Linked DNA regions of Saccharomyces cerevisiae S288C. Changing the gene in region 3 together with the main gene of any one other region gives a genetic interaction. Each region holds a gene or a part of one and is shown on either strand. Other genes may lie near its edges.

Region 1 (8,292 bases), on a different chromosome or scaffold from region 3:
TCTTTGGTCTACTGCATCGCCTCAAAAGGTTATAATATATCCCAGAATTGATGGATTAAGTTCTTGAAATAGCACACCGTTATAAGTGATAAATATATTGTCTTCGAATAACGAATTTATTAGATTTCTATGTATTTCTACTTGAAGTTAGGAATAGATCTTTCTGGAATTGTTTTCAGCAAAATTATGCTTAAGCTATAACTATAGTGAGAATCAAGAATATGTCTGCCAATGATTTCAAGCCTGAAACGTGGACTTCAAGCGCCAACGAAGCCTTAAGAGTTTCTATAGTTGGAGAAAACGCTGTTCAGTTTTCACCATTATTCACGTATCCAATTTACGGTGACTCCGAAAAGATCTACGGCTATAAGGATCTCATCATCCACCTAGCATTTGATTCAGTAACATTCAAGCCGTATGTTAACGTCAAGTATTCAGCAAAATTAGGAGACGACAATATTGTAGACGTGGAAAAAAAATTACTCTCATTTCTACCAAAGGATGATGTAATTGTTAGGGATGAAGCTAAATGGGTAGATTGCTTTGCAGAAGAACGAAAAACACATAATTTATCTGATGTTTTTGAAAAAGTATCAGAGTATTCGTTGAATGGGGAAGAATTTGTTGTATATAAATCGAGTTTGGTTGACGATTTTGCCAGGAGAATGCATCGTCGTGTTCAAATCTTTTCATTACTTTTTATCGAAGCCGCTAACTATATAGATGAGACTGACCCGAGTTGGCAAATCTATTGGTTGTTGAACAAGAAAACAAAAGAATTGATTGGTTTCGTCACTACTTACAAGTATTGGCACTACCTTGGAGCAAAATCTTTCGATGAGGATATAGATAAAAAATTCAGAGCCAAAATATCTCAATTTCTGATCTTTCCACCTTATCAAAATAAAGGCCACGGATCCTGTCTTTATGAGGCTATAATCCAATCTTGGCTAGAAGACAAAAGTATTACTGAAATTACTGTAGAGGATCCAAACGAAGCATTTGACGATCTTCGCGACAGGAATGATATTCAAAGACTGCGAAAACTTGGTTATGATGCTGTCTTTCAGAAGCACTCCGACCTTTCTGATGAGTTTTTGGAGTCAAGCCGAAAATCTTTAAAACTGGAAGAAAGACAGTTTAATCGTCTTGTGGAAATGCTTCTTCTTTTAAACAATTCTCCATCATTTGAATTAAAGGTAAAGAATAGGTTGTACATTAAAAATTATGATGCCCTAGATCAAACTGATCCAGAAAAGGCAAGAGAAGCTTTACAAAATTCATTTATTTTAGTCAAAGATGATTATAGGCGTATTATAGAGTCGATAAATAAATCTCAAGGTTAACTGTTTATTAAATATATAATAACATATTTATTTGTTTAACAAGCCTGAAATAAGAAATTCTTTTATAAATACATCATCGAGATGATCATCAAAGTGTCTCTATAGTTAATATAAGCTTATGCAAAGGTTGAAGCCGTTATGTTGTCGTAATTCTAAATTACAGGTTATATTAAAGAGATTATCTTGACTGATATAAAATTTCTTATCATGGTAGTGATCACAAATAGATCACATGATATATTTTTTATTTTTAATTTTTTTTAATTATAAAAATAATTTTTTTCTTTAAATTAAACAAAAATAAAAAATTGTTTTTTGTTGGTTAAGATTTCCGAAAATAGAAATATTATTCAGTTGAAAGACAAAAAAACATAAATATTTCTATGAGCAAACAATTTGAACAGAAAAATAAAATTGGGGAAGTGACACACCATGGTAGCGGTTCTAAAGCGAAATCGGCAAAGCGGCTAAATAGCAGTTTTGATGACTTACTCCACACTGAAAATGGATGACCTTAAATAGGAGATAAAGCTTTTTCATCCCTATGTATTTAAGATGACTGGCTTGTCAAGCATTCTAATCATAAAAAAAAGATCGTATTTGATCAAGAATTTATACATAGACGCCGCTAAATAATTGAATACAAAATGGTACAAAGGCTTCTACCGGGCGCACATATATGCAGAAGGTCCTTCAATTCGTCTGCAATTATAAAGTCTTCTGCATTGACTCTCAAGGAAGCATTAGAAAACGTGATACCTAAGAAAAGAGATGCTGTGAAGAAATTGAAGGCCTGTTATGGCAGCACGTTTGTCGGACCGATTACCATTTCATCAGTTCTAGGTGGGATGAGAGGTAATCAGTCAATGTTTTGGCAAGGAACATCATTAGATCCCGAACATGGCATTAAATTTCAAGGTTTAACGATTGAAGAATGTCAAAATAGATTACCTAATACAGGTATTGATGGCGATAATTTCCTGCCAGAATCAATGTTATGGCTGTTGATGACAGGTGGTGTGCCAACTTTCCAGCAAGCTGCTTCTTTCAGGAAAGAATTGGCTATTCGTGGAAGGAAATTGCCACATTATACAGAGAAAGTTTTGTCAAGTTTACCCAAAGATATGCACCCTATGACCCAACTTGCAATTGGTTTAGCATCAATGAACAAAGGATCCCTCTTTGCTACAAACTACCAAAAGGGCCTCATAGGAAAGATGGAATTTTGGAAAGATACTCTTGAAGATTCGCTAAATTTAATTGCTTCACTCCCGCTGCTGACTGGGAGAATTTATTCGAACATTACAAATGAGGGACACCCATTAGGTCAATATAGTGAGGAGGTGGATTGGTGTACAAACATATGTTCCCTGCTCGGCATGACAAATGGAACGAACTCTTCTAATACATGCAACCTTACTTCCCAGCAATCCCTGGACTTCATAAACTTGATGCGGTTATATACCGGTATACATGTAGACCATGAAGGTGGTAATGTTTCTGCTCACACCACCCACTTGGTTGGAAGTGCGTTGAGTGACCCGTATCTCAGCTATTCATCTGGAATAATGGGATTAGCGGGTCCTTTGCATGGGTTAGCAGCACAAGAAGTAGTAAGGTTTCTCATAGAGATGAACTCTAATATTTCCAGCATTGCACGAGAACAAGAAATCAAAGATTATCTTTGGAAAATTTTGAATTCAAACCGTGTGATCCCCGGTTATGGGCACGCAGTTTTGCGTAAACCGGATCCTCGATTTACAGCAATGCTTGAATTTGCGCAAAAGAGGCCTATTGAATTTGAGAACGACAAGAACGTTTTGTTGATGCAAAAATTGGCAGAAATAGCGCCTAAGGTTTTGTTGGAACACGGAAAGAGTAAGAATCCATTTCCCAATGTTGACTCTGCATCGGGGATTTTGTTTTATCATTATGGAATCAGGGAATTATTATTCTTTACCGTCATTTTTGGGTGTTCAAGGGCCATGGGACCCTTGACACAACTTGTTTGGGATCGCATTCTAGGTTTACCAATTGAAAGGCCCAAGAGTTTGAACTTGGAGGGTCTGGAAGCACTTACCAAAGCAAGCAATGTTAACAAGTTGTAACGCAGTTCCAATTTACAAGAATGCTTCGTTTGCTATTACAATATTGAAATATAAATAAAATTCCATACAGCATGTCTAATCATAGCTAATTTATACATATTCATCATGAAAACATATAGGGGAAAATATGGTCGGTTAACACACCTATCAAAAAATTATTCAGCAATTCCAATCTCGTTAGTAAAATATATTCTTATTTTTTTTTTTTTTCTCTGATTGTATTATTTCTGGAGTTTTGACTTATTTTTTTACCACATCGCGCTTTTCGTCCCCAATCTCTCTGATATATGATGCTGTCTATAGGTAGCCACTTCCCCGATGTCGGACCTCGGGCCGTTTACAAACTTTATTGAGATGACCTTATTTCTCCACATTCTAGTCATTCAACTTTTACCCTCATATGTTTACCTTCACTAATGTGAAAGCATGACCAAAGAAAGTGTATAAGGTATATAAATCTGCCATAATGTATGTATAACTTATTAGGACTTTCTCAAATAGTATTTTGGTATTTTCTACTGTTCTCTGATGATCGAGAGCAAACAGAATGTTTTTAGCCAAAAATCTAAAAAATAATAAAATCAAGGTATGCTTGCCTAAAAAGAAATTTGCTGCGCTGAGTACAGCGTCTATACAAACTAATGAAAGACCAAATCCAGATAAGGTTTTGAAGGACATCGCGAAATATGTCCATGAAACCCCATTAAAATCATCTTTGGCTCTAGATACAGCACGACTCTGTTTCCTTGATACTCTAGGCTGTGGCTTGGCGGCTTTGAAATTTAAGCAGGCTCAAAATATTATTAAACCAATTGTGCCAGGAACAATAGTTCCCAGTGGAACAAAAATATTGGGCACATCTTACGTTATGGATCCAGTGAAGGGAGCTTTTGCCATTGGTACTCTAATACGTTGGTTAGATTACAATGACTGCTGGTTAGCTGCCGAGTGGGGGCACCCATCAGATAACCTTGGGGGAATTTTAGCTGTCGCGGATCACTTGTCCAGATTAAACAAGGCTACCCACGGAAAGAATGGAAAACAGTTTCTTGTTAAAGACGTATTAGAGGCAATGATTAAAGCGCATGAAATCCAAGGTATTATAGCGCTCGAAAATTCTTTCAATAAAGTAGGTTTAGATCATGTGGTACTCGTGAAAGTAGCAACGGCTGGTGTTGTCTCGAAGATGCTGGGCCTGAGCCAGGAACAAACTATTGAAGCATTGTCACAAGCATTTGTAGACGGTCAATCACTGCGTACTTACCGTCATGCCCCAAATACTGGATCTAGAAAGTCGTGGGCGGCGGGAGATGCAGTTTCGAGGGCTGTAAACTTGGCTTATTTAGTCAAAAATGCTAATGTTGGCACGATACCTTCAGTATTAACAGCTAGAACCTGGGGATTTTATGACGTTTTATTTAAGGGTAAACCTTTTTCATTCCAACAAAGATCAAAATATGATTCCTACGTCATGGAAAACGTTCTGTTCAAGATATCATTTCCTGCCGAATTCCATGCGCAAACTGCTGTAGAAGCTGCTGTAAAAGCATATAGGATTCTTGCCAAACAAGGGAAAACTTTTAAAGATATTAAATCGATCAGAATTAGAACTCAAGAGGCGGCAATGAGGATTATAGATAAATCCGGTCCTCTGTATAATTATGCCGATAGGGATCATTGTATCCAGTACATGATCGCGGTTCCGCTGATTACTGGTAATCTCACAGCTACTGATTATTCGGATGAGGTCGCAAGAAATCCTGAGATCGATAACTTGAGATCGAAAATGTACTGTATCGAAGATACTCATCTCACTCAAAACTATCACGATCCTGATAAAAGGTCGATAGGAAACGCTCTTCTCATAGAGCTGAACGATGGGACGCAGTTGGATGAAATTTTTGTAGAGTACCCTGTTGGTCACAAATTTAGACGAGAGGAAGGAATACCATTACTAATGAATAAATTTCAAAGGCATCTGCGCGAACATTTTGTAGAGAGCCCTGATAAAGTCGACCTTATAATGAAGGTAAGTTCAAAAACAAACTTTTTGAATATGCAAATCGACAAATACATGGATTTGTTTACTGAGGGATGAATGGTTGGCTCTTTAAGAGCGAACGGCATGGTACCTACTTCAATTTTTAAAGACAAAAGGCGCCGTTTCGATAAACAAGAAATCACTTTCAAAACATAATTAAACCAAAGAACATGCGGTTTTCTAATTATGCTGGCTTAATTTTACTGGTATTTATCTACATAATAATAACTATTAAAAAATTAAATAATTGGCTCTATTTATTTTTCTTTCTTCAACTTGCAAGAGTTCGTCAATTCATGGAAAAATACAAAAATAGAAATGCGAATTCTGTGGATCGAACACAGGACCTCCAGATAACTTGACCGAAGTTTTTTCTTCAGTCTGGCGCTCTCCCAACTGAGCTAAATCCGCTCAATTTCTATGCTCTAACCACCTTAGCTAAAAACTCAATACAGGATTAGTTGATAAATGGGTGTTATCAACTCAATCCACAGTGTTGGAATCAGAGTCAGTTATCATCTTTGGGCTAGTATTATTGTAAGTGTTGGAATAAAAATTCTAAAATATCATCCATTTAGTAGTGTTCATATTACTAATATATCTGTTGGAATAAAAATCCACTATCGTCTATCAACTAATAGTTATATTATCAATATATTATCATATACGGTGTTAAGATGATGACATAAGTTATGAGAAGCTGTCATCGAGGTTAGAGGAAGCTGAAGTGCAAGGATTGATAATGTAATAGGATAATGAAACATATAAAACGGAATGAGGAATATTCGTAATATTAGTATGTAGAAATATAGATTCCATTTTGAGGATTCCTATATCCTCGAGGAGAACTTCTAGTATATTCTGTATACCTAATATTATAGCCTTCATCAACAATGGAATCCCAACAATTATCTCAACATTCACCCATTTCTCAATATCATCACGTGCGGTCTAAGAAGATGATATGAAGATTGAGAATAGTCATCAGGTGTAATGGAAGCTAATTGCAAGGATTGGTAATTTAGTAGGATGATGAATGACAGTCACATAAGATGAAAAGGAAAACAATAATGCCATTATATCGAGAATATCGATCTCTTCGTGGATTCTTCTCATAGAGAAATTCTAGTATAATATATATACGAAATATTATGGCCTTTAACAACAATAAAATTCCAACAATTATCAACTAATTCGAACATCTCTTGACAATATACATTATTAATTTTTACATTTCGACTTTCTTTGAATTAGGGACTGTCTCTCAATTCATCTCTTTCTCATACAGAATATCACTTATCCTATATAACTTATATAAGATTAGAATCTAACTAGAGCGAGGAGAGCGGAAACTCGGATCAAAAGTGATTGTTTAAGTGTTTGTGCGTTTGTGCGGCTCATTAAGACAATAAGGTTTTGCTTTTGTATTCAATTTTGTGGGTTTTATAACGTATAAATGCGCTTCTTGAAAGCTTGTTAACGATTTTATCGTAAAGAAATAAATAAACTAAAGAATTGAGGAGACAATACTGTTTTGATAAATAAGCCCCAAAAATATTATAGGGCCGCAAGGAATAAATTTCATAATGCGCATATGCCCAGACTCCTCTGTTTCTTTCGAAGTTTTACACTAGACTTGAATTAAATAAAGTATTGGACATAAAACTCTCCGAATCATTGTTCGGGACGTTGTTCCCTTTAATTTTCATTTTCTCAATTTCATAAAGAGCCGCATCAATGCTATCGAAGTACGGAGAATATGTCTCTCCTGCATCACTAAATGTGTTGCTAGTATTATTTTCGTTGTTATTTGCTTGCGCTCTTTCCACACTAGCAGCTACACCTGCTTTGAATAATCGCCTTCTTACTTTGTCATTTATAGATACATTGACAAGGTAAATAAAGACATTGCGCCTCTTGTAACTAGTGATAATTTCCTCCAGCACTTGGGCGGCTGAAGAATCTATTGAGGTCATCCCACCTAAATCGAAAATGACATATTTTATGGAATCCTTCGAGCGAAGTGATTTCCTTCCAGGATGTATCTTAGACGAACCGTACCTCTCTATTCTGTCAAGTCTCTGTTTTAAATCTTCGCTGTTTGTAAATGTGAGAGGCTCAGGTATTCTAACAATCATGCATCCCTCGATTTCTTCTGTGCCCTCAACATCCAGAGAGTTCCTTTTCATGTTCATCATGTAGTCGTCAAGATTCGTAAAGTTCGACGTTCCCGCTACCCTAGCCAGAATTTGGATTCTTGACTTTGCTGAATGCTTTATAATATTTATAATTGAATAGACACATCCGATGCATATTCCTGCTTCGATTGAGTAAAATATTGTAGTGCAGAAGGTAACAGCAAAAACAAATAGTTCACTAAAGCCACCACATCGCAAATGGAACTTTATGTCGCCTGGCACTTCCTCTAATAAACTAATTCCGATGATGGTTGTTATGACGGATAAAACACAATTAGGAATATAATGTACGAATTGAAGAAGTAAATTCATTGTGATTAGGGTGATGACACCCATAAACACTCCCGACATTACGCTTTGTGCTCCTGATAGGGCGTTGATCTTGGATCTTCCATATCCGCCGAATGCGGGAAGAGCACCGAATAATGAGATGACAATATTCATGAATCCTAAAGCTACTAGTTCTCTATTAGAGGAAACGGTAAGATTGTAAGTTGTTCCAAGAGATTTCGACGCGGTCGTAGATTCAAAAAAACCCAACATTGCCACTATTAGAGATGCACTAAAAAGATCTGGTATTAGCTTACGTCTAGGACGAG
Region 2 (4,502 bases), on a different chromosome or scaffold from region 3:
TTACTACTAATAAGAGTAAAGATGTTTCAAGATTACTTAGTGCATTAGGCCCACGAGGCGTATCTATAACTCCAGGTAAAATTGAAAAAATAGCACAGTCGAAGAAGAAAAATAACAAAATAAAAGAATCGAGTAAAAAAATAAAAGGTAAGAGCATCCAAGACATTGTTGGTTTAGCCACCTTAATTGTCAACACAGATGTCGAAAAGAGCGATCCTGCGGCTAAGAAAACTGCTACAGAACCGAAGCAAAAAGCTAATGCTGTGCAAAATAACAATGGTAACTCTGCAGCTTCAAAAAAGAAAAAAAATAAAAACAAGGGCAAAAAAAAGCGTTAAATATTTCATGTATACTAGGAGATTGAATATGAAATAAAATACTATATATATATATTTAGATATAAACCCATCTAAACTATCGAATTGAAGAAAAAAAAGCTAGTAGGAATGTATATATTGTGTATGCGTAAATTGTAAAAAAAACCAAATTCATAATGTCTCTTATTTTCTCGATCTGTTCTTCTTTTTAGAAGATTTGCCTCTGTTTCTTTGACGTTTTTTAGTAGATTTATTTCTAGGGTTCTTATTGATAGCTCCATCTGATACTTCACGGGGGGTATTTGAATTTTCCGGTCTTTTATTGCCATCATCTTCCAATAATGGCGAATTTTCATTGCAACCAGCGTTCTCATCGTTGTTATTAACATTGTTATCGGTGTTGTTATCGTCGGTTTCAAGACTGTCGTGGTAAACATTATTTTCTCTGTCAAAGTTAGAAGAGATTCTTTCATACGTCCCAACAGACCACAGGGGCTTACTAGTTTGCGCCGTTATCCTAGAGGATGACCCTTCTTTTACCTTCATACTACCAAAGAAATTATCAGTGTCAGCATATCTTGGTGGCAATTCTTCTCCTTTCTGTAAAATAGTATCCTTCTTGATCTCGGTTCCATTATACGCAGGAGGAATTCCAATTTGGCCATAAACACTCCCAAACGCATATTTTTTCACATTGGCTTCTATAAAGACGAACCCAACTTGGCCCAAATTAACATGTAATTCAACCTCATCTGACGTCATTTCATCACTTTCATCATGTGGATCGTGAACTCTTTGAAGATCTTTGGCGACTTCAATATCTTTGCCTTCAGAGAGAGCTTCACGGAAGCTAACATTATCCGGGTCTTCCAATAGACCATCCCTCGTATATGTTCTTGTATATGCGGCATTAAACGCGCCAATTCCAATGAAAAGATCAATGCCAATATTTTGTGTTACATCCATTAATTTTTTCCCATTATGTGTAATGAAGATTGTACCTGTTTTATATCTGTAACCGAATCCTACCGTGTCACCTTCTTCCAATTTTGGTAATAATGTGCTGGCAGTGAAGGGGTTATTTATCCTCAGTTTACCTGTGGATTCGTATGCAATGGAGTATTTGGCCATGCCCGGTACCCTGAAATAAGGATATGGTACAGTAGTCAAACCTATACTGAATATACTATTGGACTTTTGAATATGTCTGAAAATTTTAACTTCGAAATACACTGCGTCCTTCCTATTGTGAGGTAGGGGATAGTTCATTACAGTGGATGAGCTCTTATTGAACTTTGAAAATTGAATATCTAGTTTATCCTGGACAATAAAACTGGGTAGAAAGTTTCCATATTCGTCTATATTATCATTAATGCTTGGTAGCAAAAAATAGCTTTGAATGCCACGATCCTTAATAAACTGCTGGTCGTCACTGTCCAAATACGTGCCAAAGTCCTTCACCATTGGCGGGCTCATCATTTGAAACTCTTTCGCTCTTATATACAACTCAACCTCGTACGCTGACATCTTTGGTAATTCTTCAAGTTCTCTTTCCTGAAGAACGATCTCATCATCAAACCCGCCAGGGGATGCAAAACTCGAATCCAACAAGATGCCACTATGTTTTTTACCAAACAAAGAGTGCAGAGTTCCTGAAGTTCGTGTACCTAAGGCGTTCTCTTCGTCGTATTCTGATTCATCATCACCACAAAAGGTGACATATGCCGCTATTACTACCAAGATGAGCATTAATATTGCAAACGTAATAGAAAGACTTATTAAGAAAGCCAAACTAATTGCTGCAGAATCTGAATCCATAGGGGGAGTTGGTACCATGTTAGGGTCACCTACTTTGAAGTCATGATTCGGACTCTCTAGATTACCAAAAGAACTATCCAAAGCCTCATTAAAAGTGACATACATTGCTCTTGTATACCTTCAAGTTTTTTTCTTCTTCCTAGTTACAAATAAAATAGATGAAAAAAGAGCTATTACTGCTTGTTCTGTTTATTTCGATTAATAATACCCACTATTGACTTTACTGAATATAAATATGTGCCAAGTAATCTAAGTACAAGCTGTTCGGATAGCTGAGATTTTGACTCAGGAACCCCTCCCCACAGAAACTCTTTAATAAGTAGACCTGCGAATGTAAAGCGCGCACGTAGTAAGTGACGAGAACAAACAAGCGTTCTAAAATGCAAAATATCGTGAAGAGTACACTGTGGAAAATAAAAATACTAAGTTTCTATAGTATCTAGAAATCTAAAAAATGTGTTAAATGCATTTATGCTATATATCCTCATTTCAACTATTAATGGGGTGACTACAGTGTATCATTAGTTTGTGACGGGCATGTCTCGAAGATACCTATGAAAAAAGACCTTAGTCATCCGACCCATCACTTTCATATTCCCCGCTTGCTTCACTCCACTCTATGTAGTATTCCTTCATTAAAATTTTATAGTTTTTCAGAAACAAAGGATCATATGGGAAGTAACTCTGTAAGTCAATAAATTGTTGTCGAGTGGCTAAAGACCAAGAAGACGATGTGGTATTTGCTTGTGCGGAATTTTCCTTCTTGTCGCTATCAGCTTTGCCGATGATTCCCCTCAATCTTTCATTGTTGTTATTTTCAATTATGCTGAAACAGTACGCGACGCTTTCTTGTTGGGCAATACGAGCAAACATCAACATGACATTTTCATTACAAAACTTTAATGGGTTAAATTTTGAAATGACCATTCTTTGAAAGAATTTGTCCAGTTCACACTCCCAGTTACCATCTGTATCTCTGAAGATGTTATGTCTGAAACAGAAAATGTAACAAAGTGCTTGAAATGCTGCATAGAAATGTTTAAACCTTTCCATACCTCCACGTTGATCAACTTCTTCTTCTCTTTCGATAACGTATCTATTCAACCAGGACGTTAAATAGCTTGCAACGAAAATAATTTGAGTTCTGGATAGTTTCTTGGCCCTCGCAATGTACGACCCCAAATATTGTAATGACTTAATTTTCTTCTCTGCTGCTTCGTTGACGGCAAACGAAATATCTATCAGTGTCACTAAAAATGAATCCATTAGTTCTAATTGTTGTTGTGAAACATGGAACATGATATATTGAATCGACCTGGTATAGTACGTGGGTAGAACATGCGTTTTAAATAATGTTGTTAGAGTGTTGAAGACTCCTACGCCTTCACCGCTTTCTAAACTCTCCGGCGTCACTTGCTCTTCCACATGCGTGCTTACCAAAGTTAAGATAGAGTCCAATTTGGTGGAAAGTTCTTTGATTCCCTGCGTCAACTCCACATTATATTCTTCAGTACCGTCCATACCTTCAATGATGTCCATATCTTCACTATCACTTTGACTACCGTCGGCTGCTCCAGACCTTAACTCTTCATTACTGTTCCCACAATTTTCATCATCATCGTCTCCTGAATCATCATCTAAATCGTCGTCATCCTCTAGATCAACTTCCTCTAGATCATCGTCATCTACATCATCATCTAATTCATCTAATTCATTTTGTAACTCGACATCAATCGAAATAATCTTTTCTATCAGTAAGGACCAAATTTGGAATCCTAGCTCAGAGCAGTAGCCTCTCAATTTCAGCAAATTTGAAGTGTAATTAACCAACTTTCTCCGAGTATCATTTTTATTTGGGAAAAATTTGGCCAAATATGTATCTATGAATCCCATCGAGGAGGGAATCATCCTTAAGAAATATTTAAGCATATCATGATGACACACTGTCTGTTTGATTGGTAAAATAAAACAAGATACCAGTATCATCGAAACGTCTTGCCACCATTTGGGTATACTCGAGCAAAGGATTTTGATGAAATATATATATTTACTTAGAGTGTGTGGAGGCAATTCCCACCACTTCTCAAAGTTTATGATAGATTGTATGAGGAAAGTTCCCCTGGAGGATTCTATCCTGTTGATATTACTAGATAAGATATCCAAAAGAATATTGAGATTCTTATCATTAATTCTTTCAGGATTCTTGCTCGGAAGCGCTACTTGATTGGCAATTATGCCGATCTGGGTTGAATCATTCTTATCCAGATCATCTAGGGCAGATTTCACGAACCTGCTATACATGGCCGCTGAAAACACTTCATCTTTTATCTCCTCTGGTTGAAGGGTTACCAGGCCAGTACTATCGGA
Region 3 (8,970 bases):
GGTAAAGATAAATCTCAATTAATGAAAAAATCATTGGAACTATTATCCAAAAAAGAAATCAAATGTGTCATAGTTGACAGAAACAATCACCAATTCCGCGAAAGAAAGCAATTATTTGAATGGTTGAATGAACTAAAAGAAGATTATTTGGTGTATGATACGAACATCAAGGTAATCGGCGTGTCATTCGCGCCATATGACAAACTATCGGAAATAAGAGACATAACACTGCAAAGAGTAATCAAAAGAGGTAACAATCACCAAAGTATTAAATGGGACGAATTAGGAGAGAAGAAAGTGGTAGGCATCATGAATGGGTTTTTGAAAAGATATCAACCTGTTAATTTAGACAAATCACCAGATAATATGTTTGATTTAATGATAGAGTTAGATTTTGGACAAGCAGACTCTTCATTAACCAATGCGAAACAAATCCTCAATGAAATTCATAAAGCTTATCCAATTTTGGTACCAGAGATCCCGAAAGATGATGAAATTGAGACAGCGTTCAGAAGGAGCTTAGATTACAAACCTACTGTGAGAAAAATAGTTGGTAAAGGCAACAATAATCAACAAAAAACGCCTAAGTTAATTAAACCTACATATATCTCAGCTAAAATAGAAAACTACGATGAAATTATTGAATTGGTCAAGAGGTGTATTGCTAGCGATGCAGAGCTGACTGAGAAATTCAAGCATTTACTAGCTAGTGGAAAAGTTCAGAAGGAACTTCATATAACATTAGGTCATGTCATGTCGTCCCGTGAAAAAGAGGCAAAAAAGTTGTGGAAATCATATTGTAACAGATACACTGACCAGATAACGGAGTACAATAACAACCGCATAGAAAATGCACAAGGCTCTGGTAATAACCAAAATACGCAGGTAAAAACGACCGACAAACTGAATTTTAGGCTCGAAAAACTATGTTGGGATGAAAAAATCATTGCTATTGTAGTGGAACTGTCTAAAGATAAAGATGGATGCATAATTGATGAAAACAATGAGAAAATTAAAGGGTTGTGTTGTCAAAACAAAATTCCTCATATTACGCTGTGCAAACTTGAAAGTGGTGTTAAGGCTGTTTATTCCAATGTTCTATGTGAGAAGGTTGAATCTGCTGAAGTTGATGAAAATATAAAAGTGGTGAAATTGGACAACTCGAAGGAATTTGTTGGCAGTGTATATTTAAATTTTTAGACCGCGGTCTGGCTGTCTTAAAAACGTTAATTTCGTTTAACCAAGTGCTTTATTTGCTTGGAATGTAACATAGTTTTACTAACATTTTTTTTTTTTAATTGACATTGCAAAATAATCAATGTATATCATTATTCATGCATCTATATCTGTATTTATATATTAGTTATTAAGAACACGAAAGAAGGATTATTTCAAGTCCTTGAAATTACCTTTATTATTAACAAAGATATCAATGGCAGACATAGCTGCATATAATCTGTTTTCTGCTTCTTCAAAGACTATGGAATGCTCTCCATAAAAGACATCATCACTAACTTCTTCTTGATGTCTTGGCAGACAATGCATAAATTTGTAGTTTGGATCAGCCACAGAGACAAGTTCTTGATTGATTTGAAAACCTTTGAATTGTTTCAGCTTGGCCTGTTTCGCAAATTCTTCACCCATGGAAACGAAAGTATCGGTTACTAATATATTGGCATTGGTGGAGGCCTTTAAAGAGTCGTGTGTTAATTCAAATGTCGCACCGTTTCTCTCAGCAACTTTCTTTGCTTCATCGACAATATCGGAATCCATTTCAATACCGGGGGGAGTGGAAATACTGACACTTATACCGAATTTCAGACATGCGATGCACATATCATTTATGACATTATTGGCATCACCAATCCATGCCATCTTCAATTTTGAATTGATTCCCTTATTTACTTCATCTAGAGATATATTGAAGTTTTCGATTATTGTTAAAAGATCACAAATTGCTTGCAAAGGGTGGAATTTGTCACATAGAGAGTTGATGATCGGTACAGAGGAATCCTTGCAAAAAGCAAGTATGTCTTCATGTTTGTTCACACGGGCAAAAATACATGAAACCATAGATGATACAACCTTGGTGGTATCGTAAAATGATTCATTGACACCAAGCTGAATATCCTCTTTACCTAAAAACATCGGTTGGGCACCAAAGAAGGTGGCTGCACCTTCGGTCGAAATTCTCGTTCTAGTTGATCTTTTAGTAAATATTAAGGCTATAGTTCTACCCAATAGTTTCAGATGGTTGGATTGGAAATCATTCGTTTTATTTGCTTTAAAAACATTCTTGAAATGTTGAGCTCTTTGTACTAAGATTCTGAATTCTTCATCAGAAAGATCTTTTATAGAAATCAAATGACGTAAAGATGAAGGCGTGGATGCTGTGGTTGACATGGTAACGAGTGTACAAGTTGATGGGTAGATGGCTAAAAAAAAAAAAAAAAATTGCTCGTTATTAACTGTACTTAAAGGACATACAAGGAATAAACTGCCTTTAGAGGTGAAAAGTCGATTTATATAGGTAGATTTTTTTGGATGGACGGGAATGGGAAGCCGCGCCGAAGAAAGAAACGGTGACCAATCCGGCTCAAAAAAATTTGTCCGGGCATTTCTCAGCGGCCGATACTGCTGTGAGTTGCACTTAACGGAAAAAATGACCAGTTTTTTGTCATCTCGAAACGAAACGGAACAAGAAAGCATATGAGTCACGACGTGACCCTCGAAAATTCACTGCTATCAGAGGAAGAGCTGAATGAGTAATACGAAGGAGCGTAATGTTAGAAGGTCGAGTTCAAAATATTCTGGATCTTGAATTTTTGTTTACTGGAGTCATGGTTGCTAACGATGTCTCGGTTATCTAAAATAATATGATCTAAATATTTTTTCTTAGAAGACGTAACTGATGGCGAATCAGGGTTTAAATTTAAATTTGTATCTGTGTTGAAATCTACCGAATTGCTATCTCTGTTTTCAAATAGGGATAACCTTTGTGAAAGCTCTTTATTCCTATTCTTGCATTTATTTTTACTTTTTTTAAAAGGAATTTCTAGTGGTAAGCTATTGTCACTGTCACTATCCTCTTCATCATCATCTTCCGCATATCCTTCATCTGTTTCGTAGTCATAGTTTTCAAAGTTGTTCATAAAAATTTTATTAAAATCGTATGGTGACGCATCTAGGAAATTGGAGTTAGAACTCGAGTGTTGCAAAAGGTTTAGCTGGGTATTGACCTTAGACGCGAAATTCGACTTGACTGAACTTGAATTAAAGCTCGATACGGCATCCAAATATCTCAATTTATTCAAACTTATTAACAATCGTTGCTCTTCTTGTGAGTAATGGATTGTCTCAAAAGGAAGTAATTTGAAATTGATTTTGAGGATTTGTAAAAAAGGGTTTGTGGAAAATTCATCATAGTACCATATTGGACACCAGTGATTTAAAAAGTTTTGAAATTTTTCAAACTTTATTTTACTTGAGTGGGGCTGGTTTTGACCACTTTCGTATTTAAGTGATAATGACCAATTGTTTAAATTGTTTAAACATAAGTCAATAATGTCAATACTATTGAAGGGCGTAAAATGGTAGAGATTTAGTTGCTGTGGTTGTAACTGTTGATTATCATCATTATTAGAGTCATCTGTAAGAATTAAAAAATATAGGGACAATATCTCTAACGAGATATCCTCTTTCTTCAAATCTTGGTCCCCTTCCTTTAAAGTCATTAATTTTAAACTCAAGTAAAATAAAGTTAATTGAATCTCCACAAAATCAGGTTGATTGAGTTTGTGATTTAGACCCGTCAAATTCTTAAGTAGTAAATTTGTTGTTAGTTTTTTATTTGAACTGGATGTTAAGAATCGGAAGTTATCGTGATCACTCAAATTGTGATAAAGGTTCCACAGTAATAAATTTTTTTTAAAGCTTTCCAGTTCATTCTGGAAAAATTGGAAATTTGGGTCCGAAACATTTAAAGATGAGATATTCAACAAATTACATCCATCCAAAGAATATATGATGAAGTTTAACAAAATTTCAAAGGGCTTCAGCCTGGGGATTTCTAGAACCGAGATTGATTTCGGTTGAAATTCTTCAGTTAAAAAGTTGGACTTTGGTAAACCTTGAATTAAGGACCACCATGAGCTTAAGAATTGAAAGCACCAAAATGTCACTATTCTATCATCCTCTTCATTAGATTTATTATTATTATTGTTGCCTGATATAGGAATTAAATTTTTGGGATTTATGTACAATCCCATATTCAAAATATTTGTAAAGTTTAGGTTTAGCAAATCATTGGTCCATATTACTGAATTTACATTTGAATGTTCTGTTAACGAGCTTTTACTTTTACAAGAGTCAACAGAGGCGCCCATAAAATAAAAGATGGATAAGTTAACCAATTGCAAAACTTTCAAGTCTAATTTGCTGTTTGTTGTCAGAGAAACAATAAGCTTCGTGACTTTAAAAAGCTTGAAATCATCAAAACAAGACCAAGTAAATTGAATAATATAAAGTAACGCCAGTAGAGTTATGGGTTCACCTGTCATTGCGGTTGAATTAATCTTGTCTAATAGCAAATTTTTCCATAAATTTGTAGGGTATAATAGAAGTAGCAAAGAATTTTGCCTTTTAAAAAAATCTTTAATAATGACAGACAACAAATTTTTCAAAAACTGAAGGTTATAATCATATTTAAGTAAAAGAAAATTTGGGAGATGATTAAAGTCACCATTCAGGTTCAAAAAATTTGTTAACAGTTGCAGTTGTAGATCAATATTATTTCGATCGTCTGTAAAAACTACTGCTTTTTGAGTAGGAAAAGTATTAGTTAGAATATTCCATGTCAAATGTCCCAAAAACCTTTGATTTTCAGACTGAGTGTTGTAATTATCAAAACAATAAAATGTATCATTAATGAACGGCAAATTAGAATTTGCATTGGCGCTGGAACTCGCATTCATATTTGTCAAACGGACGACCTCTTTTTCTAGTAGTTCTGTATACCCCTTTGGAAGACCTCTCCTCGACAGTTTATCCGAGGTTTTGCAAGGGAAGTCAATTTTCGCACAGTTTGAACAGTTCGGTTTTAAACCGTCACACTTGATTTTTTTCAGTCTGCATCTATCGCAAGCATGCGCCTTTCTGACAGAGAAATCAGTGATTGCGTTAGAGGAGCTTTGACCGGTTGGTACTATCAGGACTTTATTGCTGCAGGAATCTGTATCATCGAGGGAATAAGACCTGCCATATTTCCTCTTGGCCATCGTCTATTCAGAGTAGCGAGAAGAAAAAAAGAAGCAAAAAAAAAAAAAAAAAACGAGCAAAAGAAATCGAGCAAAGGAGAATGAGCAAAGGATAAACGGAAAACAATGGTAAAGAGGATTAGCCGCTGAACTAGATTGTAAATTGAAGCGGAAAAGAAAACAAAGGAGAGGAAATCGGAGAGGCAGAAAGCTTTCTGCCTTATATACTTTTTTTTTTGCCGCCGAGTTCTGAGATCACGCCCTTAAATTTAGCCGCCAAAACACCGGTCGAACGGCGAAAATGGATCGGAGTCTTGATTGCACCCACACCTCGCATTTTGTGCACTAACATAAAATATGACGAAGTGAGAGTCATGACACACAGAATAACTTAAAAATACTTGAGGAAAAAGTTCTCATATTATGAGGTCATAATAACTACATCGTTATTGTTGCGATATAACTTCAATGTTTTCTGCCTGCAAAAGAATCCTTCCTTTTCCTTCTTTAATTGAAGAGTCCATGTAACCTTGTTTCGTTACTTATATTTATTCACCTTTCTACTTTAGTCACATAACGTAATCTGGGCATAATCATTGAGGTATCATTATTAGCTTGAACTCGTGGTTCCTATTGTCGCCAGGTTTCTTTCAACGCATTTGCTCTTTCCGCTTCGCATACGGCGGTGATCAAATGCAAAACTTACCCTCATCAGTATAAGAGAAGAAAAACTGCATGGACTATTCGCGTATTGCCTGGTAAAGCTATATAGTACTATTGGTAATGTTTGTACTGTTTTATGTACATGATGAATAAGAAGAGACAAATTTTACGTGATATATAAGTCTTCTATTTCTAGTATGGCAGGTATTTTATCAGTAGCATTAATATTACTATGAAGCCCTTTCAAGGAATAACATTTTGTCCGACTGCAATAAATAATGAAATCTTAGCTAAAAAAATATCAAAGAAAATTATTAAGTTAGGAGGTATATTTTCTAAAGATTTGACCAGACAAGTTAATGTCCTTGTTGTTGGGTCCACCACCAATACAAACAAATTTAAATTTGCGGTGAAGCATAGATTCGATATCATATTTATTGACATTCAAGCCATTGATGACATTTATCAGCTCTGGCTGTCTGGAGAAAATATATTGCCGGACTCTAATACGGCAACAATGACAGGATCCACCTATGAGATGCTGAAGATACTTTACCGGCGATTTTCGTTTAAATATTTGCATAACTTCAATATCTTCATTGGCAGAATAACCGACACTAACATAACTTCCATCGATTCATTGGTTAGGAGTATTAAAAAGTTAGGGTGTTCTAGTTATAACTATCAAAACTTTGTAATCAAAGATACCTCTTCACACAATGATGACGATGATCAAGGTCAGAATGGGCAGATATCCATTTTTGTTACGGATACTTTACTAGGAGCAAGAGTTAACGCTGCTATTGAACAAAATATACCTATTGTACATTTCAAATGGATTCTCGATTGCCAAAAAAGAAGCGCACTGTTACCGTACGATCCCTATTATCTTTTACCAAATATTAAAGACCTGCCCTATGATTCAATCGGATCAAACTCTTGCGATTGCTGGGATAAAATAAACACCACCTTTCCAACCAATATCGATGCCCAATCCTCTCTGCAGCGGCAGCAATCCTCCAGTACCCTGACTCCTTCGCTCCCGAAAACATCATCCCTCTTGAATAAATTTAAACCAAAGGGTGAAAAAATATGGGACAAGGCAATGTCTCTACAGCAGCATAGTAAGACAAATTTTTCAGTACTAGGGCAGTCACCATTATCGATAAATAACAAACAAGAAGATTTAAGTGATAATAGTACTTTGATTTTCAAAAATTGTGCGTTTATCATTCATCATATTTTTCCTGGCAATCACCGTTCAATACTAACCAAAATTGTTGTTCAAAATGGGGGTAAAATTGAGACGTCTTACTTGAGCGGCATTTACGATCATTCTTATTACATCATTCCAAGTAATAAAGCTCTTGACTCCTTCAATGATTTACCTGAGATTATAGATGATAATGATGGTATAGTTACAGAATTTTTCATTGAACGCTGCTTGTATTATCAAAAATTACTACACCCAATAGATTTATGGTCAAAACCCTTCCTCAGCACAATAGAGTTTCAAGTTTCGTCTTCTTCAAAGTTATTGCATCATGAATTTTCTTCTTCCCCTTTTCTGAATGTTACTATCACTGGATTCTCTGGCGTAGAGCTGTTACATCTGACTAAAGTATTAAATCTTCTAAAACCAATGGGCATCAATTATGTAGAATACCTCAATAAATCCACTGACATTCTGCTAATCAACTTAGCAGCTTTACCCAGTATCCCGAAAACCCATCCGTTATGGTCGAATGAATTTAGCGATCTTTTTACTCAGTTTTGCATTAATAACAATAATGATGATCCTGGTGATAATAACAGAAAAGATTTTCAAAATAATTCAATCTTGAGAAATTCGATGAAAAGGAAAATTGAATATATCAAGAAATTCCACTCCATACCGGTAGTTACTCCAGCATTTATTTTTAAATTATTGTCCGCTGCATCTGGAGAAAATAATGAAATCTTTTTAAACAATATCAAGTGGTGTATTATCTGCCCAAGAGGACACAAGGACGATTTTAAATGTAAGATAAAAAAACCATACTATACCAGCATTAGTTCAGAAAAAAAGTACCAAAACAATGATCCAAAAATCGACAAAACTATTCTTTTGAAAAGAAACAATTCCTCATTATCGGAGCACTCTATGAAAGATACCAAAAACGAATTATTGCAGAAAATTAGAGAAACTGATTCTGGAAGAAAAAAGCGTAGTGTCTCATCGAGTATCATGGATGTTTCTTCAGAGAGACAAATGCCGGATACGAAAAGGATCAAGTTGGAGTCACTGCCAAAAAATTTCGTTCCTAAACAAATTAAACGAACCACGAGTTGGGGCACAATAATGTCAGAAAATGTGCCTACAGAGCAGCCGACTGCAATTTCTAATCCAGAAGAGATCCCAAGAACTGAGGAAGTTTCACATACTCAAGTTACCTATGGCTCCATTCAAGATAAGAAACGTACTGCCTCTTTAGAAAAACCTATGAGACGACAGACAAGAAATCAGACAAAGGAATTAGATTCTTGAAATGTAGTCCGTAATTTTATAAGATATTCATTTACATACGCCATCTACAGCATTATTCAAATCTACTCATCTATATGTATTACCGTTTTGTATGATAATACTTTCCATGACATGCTCGCGTGAAAAAACAGCATGAGAAAAAGAGGATCGCAATAAGAAGACACGTAAATATCTAAATAAATGGCAACAGTACATCAGAAGAATATGTCGACTTTAAAACAGAGAAAAGAGGACTTTGTGACAGGGCTCAATGGCGGTTCTATAACAGAAATTAACGCAGTGACATCAATTGCTTTGGTAACTTACATATCATGGAACTTATTGAAAAATTCCAACCTTATGCCTCCTGGCATTTCCAGCGTGCAATACATAATTGATTTTGCATTGAACTGGGTTGCTTTGCTTCTATCTATTACTATTTATGCTAGTGAACCATACCTTCTAAACACGCTAATACTGTTACCTTGTTTGCTCGCATTCATATATGGAAAATTTACTAGCTCGAGTAAACCTTCTAATCCAATA
Region 4 (8,469 bases), on a different chromosome or scaffold from region 3:
TAATTGATGCATGTGGGCTGAAAAGAGACCTGGAGATTTTACCAGCAGGTGACCTAACAGAAATTGGTGAAAAGGGTATAACTTTATCAGGAGGGCAGAAACAGAGAATTTCCTTGGCGAGAGCTGTTTATTCGAGTGCTAAGCATGTCTTACTAGATGATTGTTTGAGCGCTGTCGATTCACATACTGCTGTATGGATCTATGAAAATTGCATCACAGGTCCACTAATGAAAAATAGAACCTGCATTTTAGTTACGCACAATGTTTCATTAACACTTAGAAATGCCCATTTCGCGATTGTGTTGGAAAATGGCAAAGTGAAGAATCAAGGAACTATTACAGAATTACAAAGCAAAGGGCTTTTTAAGGAAAAATATGTTCAACTTTCTTCTCGAGATAGCATTAATGAAAAGAACGCTAATAGATTAAAAGCTCCCAGAAAAAATGACTCTCAGAAAATCGAACCTGTCACCGAGAACATAAATTTTGATGCAAATTTTGTCAATGATGGCCAGCTAATAGAAGAGGAAGAAAAATCAAACGGTGCCATAAGCCCCGATGTTTATAAATGGTACCTGAAATTTTTTGGAGGCTTCAAAGCTTTAACAGCCCTGTTCGCTCTTTATATCACAGCTCAAATTTTGTTCATCAGTCAGTCTTGGTGGATACGACATTGGGTCAACGATACCAATGTACGAATAAATGCTCCAGGTTTTGCGATGGACACGCTGCCATTAAAAGGGATGACCGACTCTTCGAAAAATAAACATAATGCATTTTATTACTTAACCGTATATTTTCTTATTGGTATCATTCAGGCAATGCTAGGTGGTTTTAAAACAATGATGACGTTTTTATCCGGTATGCGAGCCTCCAGAAAGATCTTTAATAATCTGCTAGATCTAGTTCTACATGCCCAAATACGATTTTTCGACGTGACGCCGGTTGGTAGAATCATGAATCGCTTTTCAAAGGACATCGAAGGTGTTGATCAAGAATTGATTCCATACTTAGAAGTAACTATATTTTGCCTAATTCAATGCGCATCAATTATATTTCTCATTACCGTAATAACTCCTCGCTTTTTGACAGTCGCCGTTATCGTTTTTGTTTTATATTTCTTTGTGGGGAAATGGTACTTAACGGCAAGTAGAGAATTGAAAAGGTTAGATTCAATAACCAAATCACCCATTTTTCAACATTTCTCAGAGACCTTGGTAGGCGTTTGCACAATTCGTGCATTTGGCGACGAGAGGAGATTCATTTTAGAAAATATGAACAAAATTGACCAAAATAACAGAGCATTCTTTTATTTATCAGTTACTGTCAAATGGTTTTCTTTTAGAGTCGACATGATTGGCGCATTCATTGTTTTAGCATCAGGTTCTTTTATTCTGCTCAATATTGCAAATATTGACTCGGGTCTTGCCGGCATTTCTTTGACATATGCCATTTTGTTTACAGATGGTGCTTTATGGTTAGTTAGACTGTACTCAACATTTGAAATGAACATGAACTCTGTTGAAAGACTAAAAGAATATTCTAGCATTGAACAAGAGAACTATCTTGGCCATGATGAAGGCCGCATTCTACTTCTAAACGAACCATCGTGGCCAAAAGATGGAGAAATTGAAATTGAAAACTTATCTTTACGTTACGCGCCAAATTTGCCTCCTGTCATAAGAAATGTTAGTTTCAAAGTGGATCCTCAAAGTAAGATTGGGATTGTCGGAAGAACTGGCGCAGGCAAATCTACCATAATAACGGCATTATTCAGATTACTAGAACCAATAACCGGATGTATCAAAATAGATGGGCAGGATATAAGTAAAATTGATCTCGTTACATTACGTCGTTCCATTACTATCATCCCTCAGGACCCTATTCTATTTGCAGGTACAATCAAAAGTAATGTTGATCCATATGATGAATATGATGAAAAAAAAATATTCAAAGCACTTTCACAAGTAAATCTAATTTCTTCACATGAATTTGAAGAAGTGCTTAACTCGGAGGAACGCTTTAACAGCACTCATAATAAATTTTTAAATCTTCACACAGAAATAGCTGAGGGCGGCTTAAATCTGTCCCAAGGTGAAAGGCAATTGCTTTTTATTGCACGATCATTGTTACGCGAGCCAAAGATAATACTTTTGGACGAGGCTACTTCCTCTATTGATTACGATTCTGACCATTTAATTCAGGGTATTATAAGAAGTGAGTTTAATAAAAGCACAATTCTTACTATTGCACATCGTTTGAGATCTGTTATCGATTACGACAGGATAATTGTGATGGATGCCGGTGAGGTAAAAGAATATGATCGCCCTAGTGAACTGTTGAAAGATGAACGCGGTATATTTTATAGTATGTGTCGTGACAGTGGGGGCCTAGAGCTTTTGAAGCAAATAGCCAAGCAATCAAGTAAGATGATGAAATAATCGAATGTTTCTTTCTTTTATTCAAAGATGAGGATGAATATTATTTATTAAAAATGCAATAGTAGTCTATAAAATATTTATGTAGAAAAGGAAAAACTAACACAGACATGGCTTTTTCACCCATTCTGTGACAATGAGCCCATCATGCAAATAAGTGATTTTGGGTAAAAGTTTATAATGGAAGAATTTAGGTAGTAAAACGAATTTAACTAACCAGAAAAAGAAGCATGCAACTATTACCAGTAATGACATGATTTGGTAGGGCGGCAGGAACCCAACTCTGTTTAGGCTAGGGTCGGCAAAGAATGGTGCCATCAACATGTATAATGATAATGTAATAATGGCTAATACTCCAAAAGTAGATGCACGAATCTCTGGGACTTCGTTCTTGTGTTTGAACCTCCAAATAAAGAGCCCAATAGCGACCAATAATAAGAAAAACTGATTACCATAACCATCCATCGATACCAGATAATTGAAGGATTCGCCCTCTTTGGGTAAAATCAATATCCAAGCAATGGTTATAAAGCCACATAAAGAAATAGATGGTAGAGGTGCATCAAATGGCCAATTTTTGGACATATGAATACTGAATGGTAAATAACCTTCTTTGAATATTTCCTGGTTAACTCTTGATATACTGTAAATGACAACCAGAATATTAGATGCTGCAGAAATGGCGATAGAAAAAGCAATGAATTTGCCACCAACTCTGGGTCCGAAAAGTTTGGTAAACAACACGGAACCAACCAGGGGGCCTGCACTAACAATTTCCTCATATGTCAAAACTTTCAAGTATGCCACATTCATCATTGTGTAGCAGACAAAACAAATTATCAACGATAAGGGACCTGACACCTTCAACGTCTTAACGGGATTCTTAATTTCTGATGTAACTGTGTGAACTGTATCCCATCCAGAAAAACAAAAGAATGAGCTGATAAAGGCAGTAGCAATAGAGGACACCGACAGGAGAGAATCTTTCTCAACTTGGGTTACTGGGAGGTCCCAGGCAACTTGACCGGTGCTTTTATAAAAGAAAAGCGTGTATAGCCCGGCAAAGCACATCAAGACAATCATGATCAACTTCAAACCACCAAGTGCGTTCTGTATAAACACTCCGTGCCTTACAGAGACACCGTGAATGAGAACGGCAAATATTATAAATGATATGCTGACGTACTTGGACCACGAATCATCCGTGACTCCAAATGCGCTCAACACGTATTTACCGAAGACGATAGATCCCGTCAATGCATAGCCAGTTAAAACACTGTAACACGAAAACACCACACTAATTAATAGTCTGGGTCTTTCAAAACTCCGTTCGAGGAAGTTTTTACGTCCACCTGATTTCGGTATCCAGGAACCAAATTCTAGAAAAAGATACAATCCTGCAAAAGCGATCGCAGCGCTAAAAACCCAGATCGCAAAATATATCAGCTTATTACCACCTGTATTCAGTAAAATCACACTGGGTACTGCAAATATACCTGACCCCATTATCCTCGAAACAAATAACACAACCGTGGAGAACACACCTAAATGTCTTCCCTGTGGAACTTCCATGAATCTTGCCGTCTCTGCCTTTATCGCCTGCGCTTCCACAGTATCCATCGAACTGAATGATCCAGTATTTGTGGAACCATATTTTGTGGTAATATCACCAACTTCCACATCTATGAAAACATCTTGAGAGGGATTTGCTTTCCCACTATTAAAAAGCAGCGGTTCCATTTTTACTTATTTTGAGCACTGTACGTCTACGTTGCCCTCAGCAACTTAGACTACAAACAGAATGTACAGATCATCGATAAGCATCCAGGTCTTTATATGTGTATTGTTTTTGCCCCTTGACTCAGGCAGGCCTCTAATCTATATGATTGATTTGTCATATATATGCAGCGACGCCACAGTTTTTTCCGGCAAGAGTCGCGTGATCTTTTTTTCTAATCCAATCTGTGAACATACTAGAGGAAACTTCTACCTTTTCTACCTGAATTACATTATCAACACTTTTGCACCAAAAAATCGTGGTACTAGGAGATGCAAACCTTTTGGTCTCCACATCAATTGCAGGAAAAAGATTGACTGTTTGCATGTGCAATTATCTTATATATTATGTAAAAATAAAAGTAGGAAACGCCACATGGATGCGCATGCCATAACCCTTGCATGGTTAGCACACGCCCTCACGTGAGTGAATTTGCCAAAATGATAGTCAAATGTGTTGATAGTTCGATAAGAGGTGAAGTTGGGGAACTAAAGGTGGAATAGAAAATGATAAAACAAAGGAAAGAGTGAAGATTGCCGCCGAGTAGAATCCAAGATTGGTGTGTATGGGTGTATTTAGTGAAAGTTCAATTGCATTGAAGATGACAAATTATGCTTAAGTGAATGGACAATGAAGGCTTCTCTTGAAGGAGTAAGGCTGCGCTGAAGGAAAGGTTTGAGACAGAGTGACCAAAATGGTGAATTGGCAAACATTGTTCATGGTCTCATTGAGGAGACAGGGCAGTTCCTCTCGTTACAGGTATAAGTTCAACATGGAGAATATCACACATCAGGTGTTCCCTCGCTGTAAGCAAGCGTTTAAGAAGACAAACTTATCTTATGAATATTGTGATCTTGAAGGAGTACTGTATAATATTTCACTCACGGACTTGCAAAAACTGCTATTACGTGATATAAACGCCCCTCGCGAACACGCATTCAAGATTGTTAGAACAGATCTAACTCAAAAATCCTCGAAGAAGAGGATCCAACACTGGGAACGGATTGCGCCTATGTTTGACCACCCCTTAAGTCTCTACGAGAAGTTGTTCAGCGAAATGGATGAGGACTTCAAGCCATCTTTCGAGTGGCAACAATTAATAAGGGTACGATGCAAAGATGATAAGTTGAAACTGCAGCGTGTAATTTGGCCTAAGTCGATATTTTCAAACTTTTGTCGGGGAATCGGGGTTAAGAAGAGCACTTACGATAGACTCTTGGAACAAAATAATGGTGAGGTACCCATGTTTGTAAACCCAGCTAATGCAAAGCCCTTGCCTCTTTTCCAGGTTTCCGATGAGGCGATGATTGGGGAATTCGATGGAATTGGTATTTTCCCTTACTTTGTAGATAAACATAGAGAATTTTTCGTTACTGAGGTAGACAAATTGAAGACCAAGATAGCTTCGCCACTTTGCACCTTGAATGAACGAAAGCGCATTGAGAAGGCTAACGCTGGTCGGATACTGGCGAACGAAGAGGGTAAACCATTCTATCTGGATGCAAACAGTGCCACAACTCGAATCGCTGGTGGTAATGTCGTCACTTTGAAGCAACTTTTAGAAAGATCGGTTAGCCATAAGACATTGTGGAGCAAACAATCAAACAAAGACAGAACGTGCCCTGGAGACATTTTAAGAGCTACAATATTATCAAACGACTTCTCCATCCGGCAATTGAGGGCTGAATTTTGCAAAAATTTCATTCTCTACAATATATTCACCATTTTACAACGTAACAAGAAAAGCATCCGTTCCTTCTCTGGTAACGATAATGCGCCTTCCTTTCAATTTAGTTGGAATGTTTGGGACTCATATATATGGAAGCAATATCAAGAGACCGAGTCCATGAAAATACCCACGGACCAAGCTTCTCTGATCAACTACAAGACAAAATACGACTCTTTTCTTCATGACCTACAAACATATTCCGCACTGGTAATTTCAGAAATGAAATGGAACCAATTCTCTATTTTCCAAAATGATGAAACGACTTTATCAAGATTTGAACACATCACATTAATTTTGCAAACCGTGCTGACAAAATCGAAAATGATTAGAATTTTCCAGCCAAACTTGTACAAGTTTATGCAAGATGATTTAAGACCAACTTTAATGGAGTTGGTGGGTTTCACTGAGTCAATAAATGCAACAATAGAACCTGGTTTTGCGAATGAACAATCGCTACAATCTGCAAACGGATTAAAGAAATTGGCCAACCAACTTTTATACTTCGAACAGGAAATATATGGCGAAAAGTTCCGCGTAAATAGGCCCATCCAGCTTCGTCCAATAACATTATCAGCAAACTACAAAATTGTTATTCTGGATAAGAAGAACGCCATACCCGAAATATTTCAAACCCTACTGAAATTCATGACACAAATAACGACATATTTTGTTAAAGATTTGTCGGAGGTAGAACTTCATGGGCACATGCATTGTATTGATAAAAAAATGCTGGACAAGTCGAAATTCATGTATTTATACGAAGAGAAAAGCAACGAGGAAGTGAAAGCAGCTTCTCCTCAAAAGGAGAAGATAGTAGATAATATCATTGGCCTATTATCAAATGATGAAGAACATTAACATGAATTGGAAAAAGAAAAAATTGCATGTAAATATATACATACGTAGAATTTTATACTTAGGCTACAGATCAAAGCTAAATCTGTAAGTCGTATGCCTTCTTCATTAGAAATATAGGCTCTTTATTTGATTTCCTGATCCAAACCAATCTATCAATCGCAGTATCTGCCACAATGAACTGTCTTATGCCCCAATCACCGACACTATAAATTTCTGGAATTCTCTCCGATAAATTAGGGAAGTATTTTTTATAGAACGGCAAAAACTCCATAACATCTTCTTTTTCAATGACAATTGAATCACTAACTTCTTTGAAGGTTTGTTTAATGAAACCTCCCTGATTATTACTTTTATCGTTGATTAATTTGACTATCCAGAGCAACAATGCGTCATTAAGACAGTCTTTTGTGATCAAATCTTCGTAATTTATAGCACCAAATACCAGTAAGAGAGAATTGGCAAATATTTTGTCGTTTTTAAAAATTGTCTTGAATGACAGAGAAAACTCCTTATTATTGCTATATATTTTTTTTTGTAAAACGGACAATTTCTCAGTAGTGGCGTTCAGAATTTTTTTGTTATCTTGATAGTATAGTTTGATTAGTTTAATAACATGAGGGCGTAATTTTTGAGTCGAAGAAGTTTTAATTTTAAAATTCTTATAAAACAGCAATCTCTGGGATACTACAGATGTTAATTGATCAATACCTTCCAATACGCTCCTTACGGTTGGAGTTTCTTCAGACTTTAATTTACTTAGGTAGGCAAATAACGCTAGTAGAACCGGTGGTAATGGTTCAGAAATTTTTAAACTAAATTGTAAAATGGTAGTTTCTCCATCGTCAGTAACAAAATTACCTGATTTGTTAAAATCCACGGGCAAACCGCTAACTAAGGTGGATGGTAGCTTTAAAGTCAACCTAGAGAAGTCAAACTTATTCGAGGAATCCCAAAACCCGTAGTTTAACAAACATTTTTCATTAGAAATATTACCATAATTATTAAACAATTCATCCTGTGCACTAAATGTGGTAGTCTGCGACATGAAACAAAGTTCATTTTGTTCATTCATCTCCCATCTTACTGGTACATCGTTTTTATGGTTTAATAAATCTACTATTGGATACAAAAATCCTTCGTTCAGATTGGTGCGGTCTGTACCGGCCCTGCCTAAAATGACACGAGGAAATGCCCTAGAATTAAAGATGCAGTACGACCAAAGATACGCCACGAACGAGTTCCATTCCGAATCTTCTAGTTTACATCCATTGATGTGTGCGCAGAACTGTTCCAACGGCACTACGGCAGAGTCTTTATTCTCCTGGAATAAAGACAAGAACTGCTTATCTTGAGAAGAGTGTTCAATAGATAAAGCTTGGAACAGCATCCTCCACTCCTTTACTAGTTTGTTCAGCGTATCTCTCATAGTTAAGTACACGTCTGTACCATGCAAATTCATGACTTCATCAGTAGACCAAAAATATGGTTGTGGAAGGTGCAAGGGTAGCACATCTAAATATGGTTTGTAAAAGGATTTCAGGTGAACTGCATCGGTGCCAAATTTCAACTTTGACAAGTACAACTGTGTCACGGAATTCAAAAGACTCCTTTCATTAGCAGCCTGGGAAAATTCTGATAAAGCTTGCTGGGAAGTGATCAGCAGAGTT

The links.
Region 1: mutations in SIP4 (region 3) and CIT3 together harm fitness more than expected from each alone (negative genetic interaction), as found in Saccharomyces cerevisiae (one large-scale study listed by BioGRID).
Region 2: mutations in SIP4 (region 3) and SSH4 together harm fitness more than expected from each alone (negative genetic interaction), as found in Saccharomyces cerevisiae (2 studies listed by BioGRID).
Region 4: mutations in SIP4 (region 3) and MUP3 together harm fitness more than expected from each alone (negative genetic interaction), as found in Saccharomyces cerevisiae (one large-scale study listed by BioGRID).

The regions. Positions count from the first base shown.
Region 1 is NC_001148.4:554,384-562,675, forward strand, and holds CIT3 (citrate (Si)-synthase CIT3), read left to right. Parts: upstream 1-1,993; coding exon 1,994-3,454; downstream 3,455-8,292. Other genes in the region: histone acetyltransferase catalytic subunit HAT1, read left to right, coding at 222-1,346; PDH1 (putative 2-methylcitrate dehydratase), read left to right, coding at 4,002-5,552; YPR003C (uncharacterized protein), read right to left, coding at 7,121-8,292. UniProt on the Saccharomyces cerevisiae protein: Dual specificity mitochondrial citrate and methylcitrate synthase with similar catalytic efficiency with both acetyl-CoA and propionyl-CoA.
Region 2 is NC_001143.9:208,331-212,832, reverse strand, and holds SSH4 (Ssh4p), read right to left. Parts: upstream 2,241-4,502; coding exon 501-2,240; downstream 1-500. Other genes in the region: signal recognition particle subunit SRP21, read left to right, coding at 1-338; RRN3 (rDNA-binding RNA polymerase I transcriptional factor), read right to left, coding at 2,703-4,502. UniProt on the Saccharomyces cerevisiae protein: Components of the endosome-vacuole trafficking pathway that regulates nutrient transport. May be involved in processes which determine whether plasma membrane proteins are degraded or routed to the plasma membrane.
Region 3 is NC_001142.9:262,232-271,201, reverse strand, and holds SIP4 (Sip4p), read right to left. Parts: upstream 5,277-8,970; coding exon 2,787-5,276; downstream 1-2,786. Other genes in the region: TRL1 (tRNA ligase), read left to right, coding at 1-1,200; ARG3 (ornithine carbamoyltransferase), read right to left, coding at 1,387-2,403; protein kinase activating protein DPB11, read left to right, coding at 6,151-8,445; GWT1 (glucosaminyl-phosphotidylinositol O-acyltransferase), read left to right, coding at 8,650-8,970.
Region 4 is NC_001140.6:21,950-30,418, reverse strand, and holds MUP3 (Mup3p), read right to left. Parts: upstream 4,179-8,469; coding exon 2,538-4,178; downstream 1-2,537. Other genes in the region: putative ATP-binding cassette multidrug transporter VMR1, read left to right, coding at 1-2,441; YHL037C (uncharacterized protein), read left to right, coding at 4,240-4,641; CBP2 (Cbp2p), read left to right, coding at 4,910-6,802; EFM1 (protein-lysine N-methyltransferase), read right to left, coding at 6,879-8,469. UniProt on the Saccharomyces cerevisiae protein: Very low affinity permease for methionine.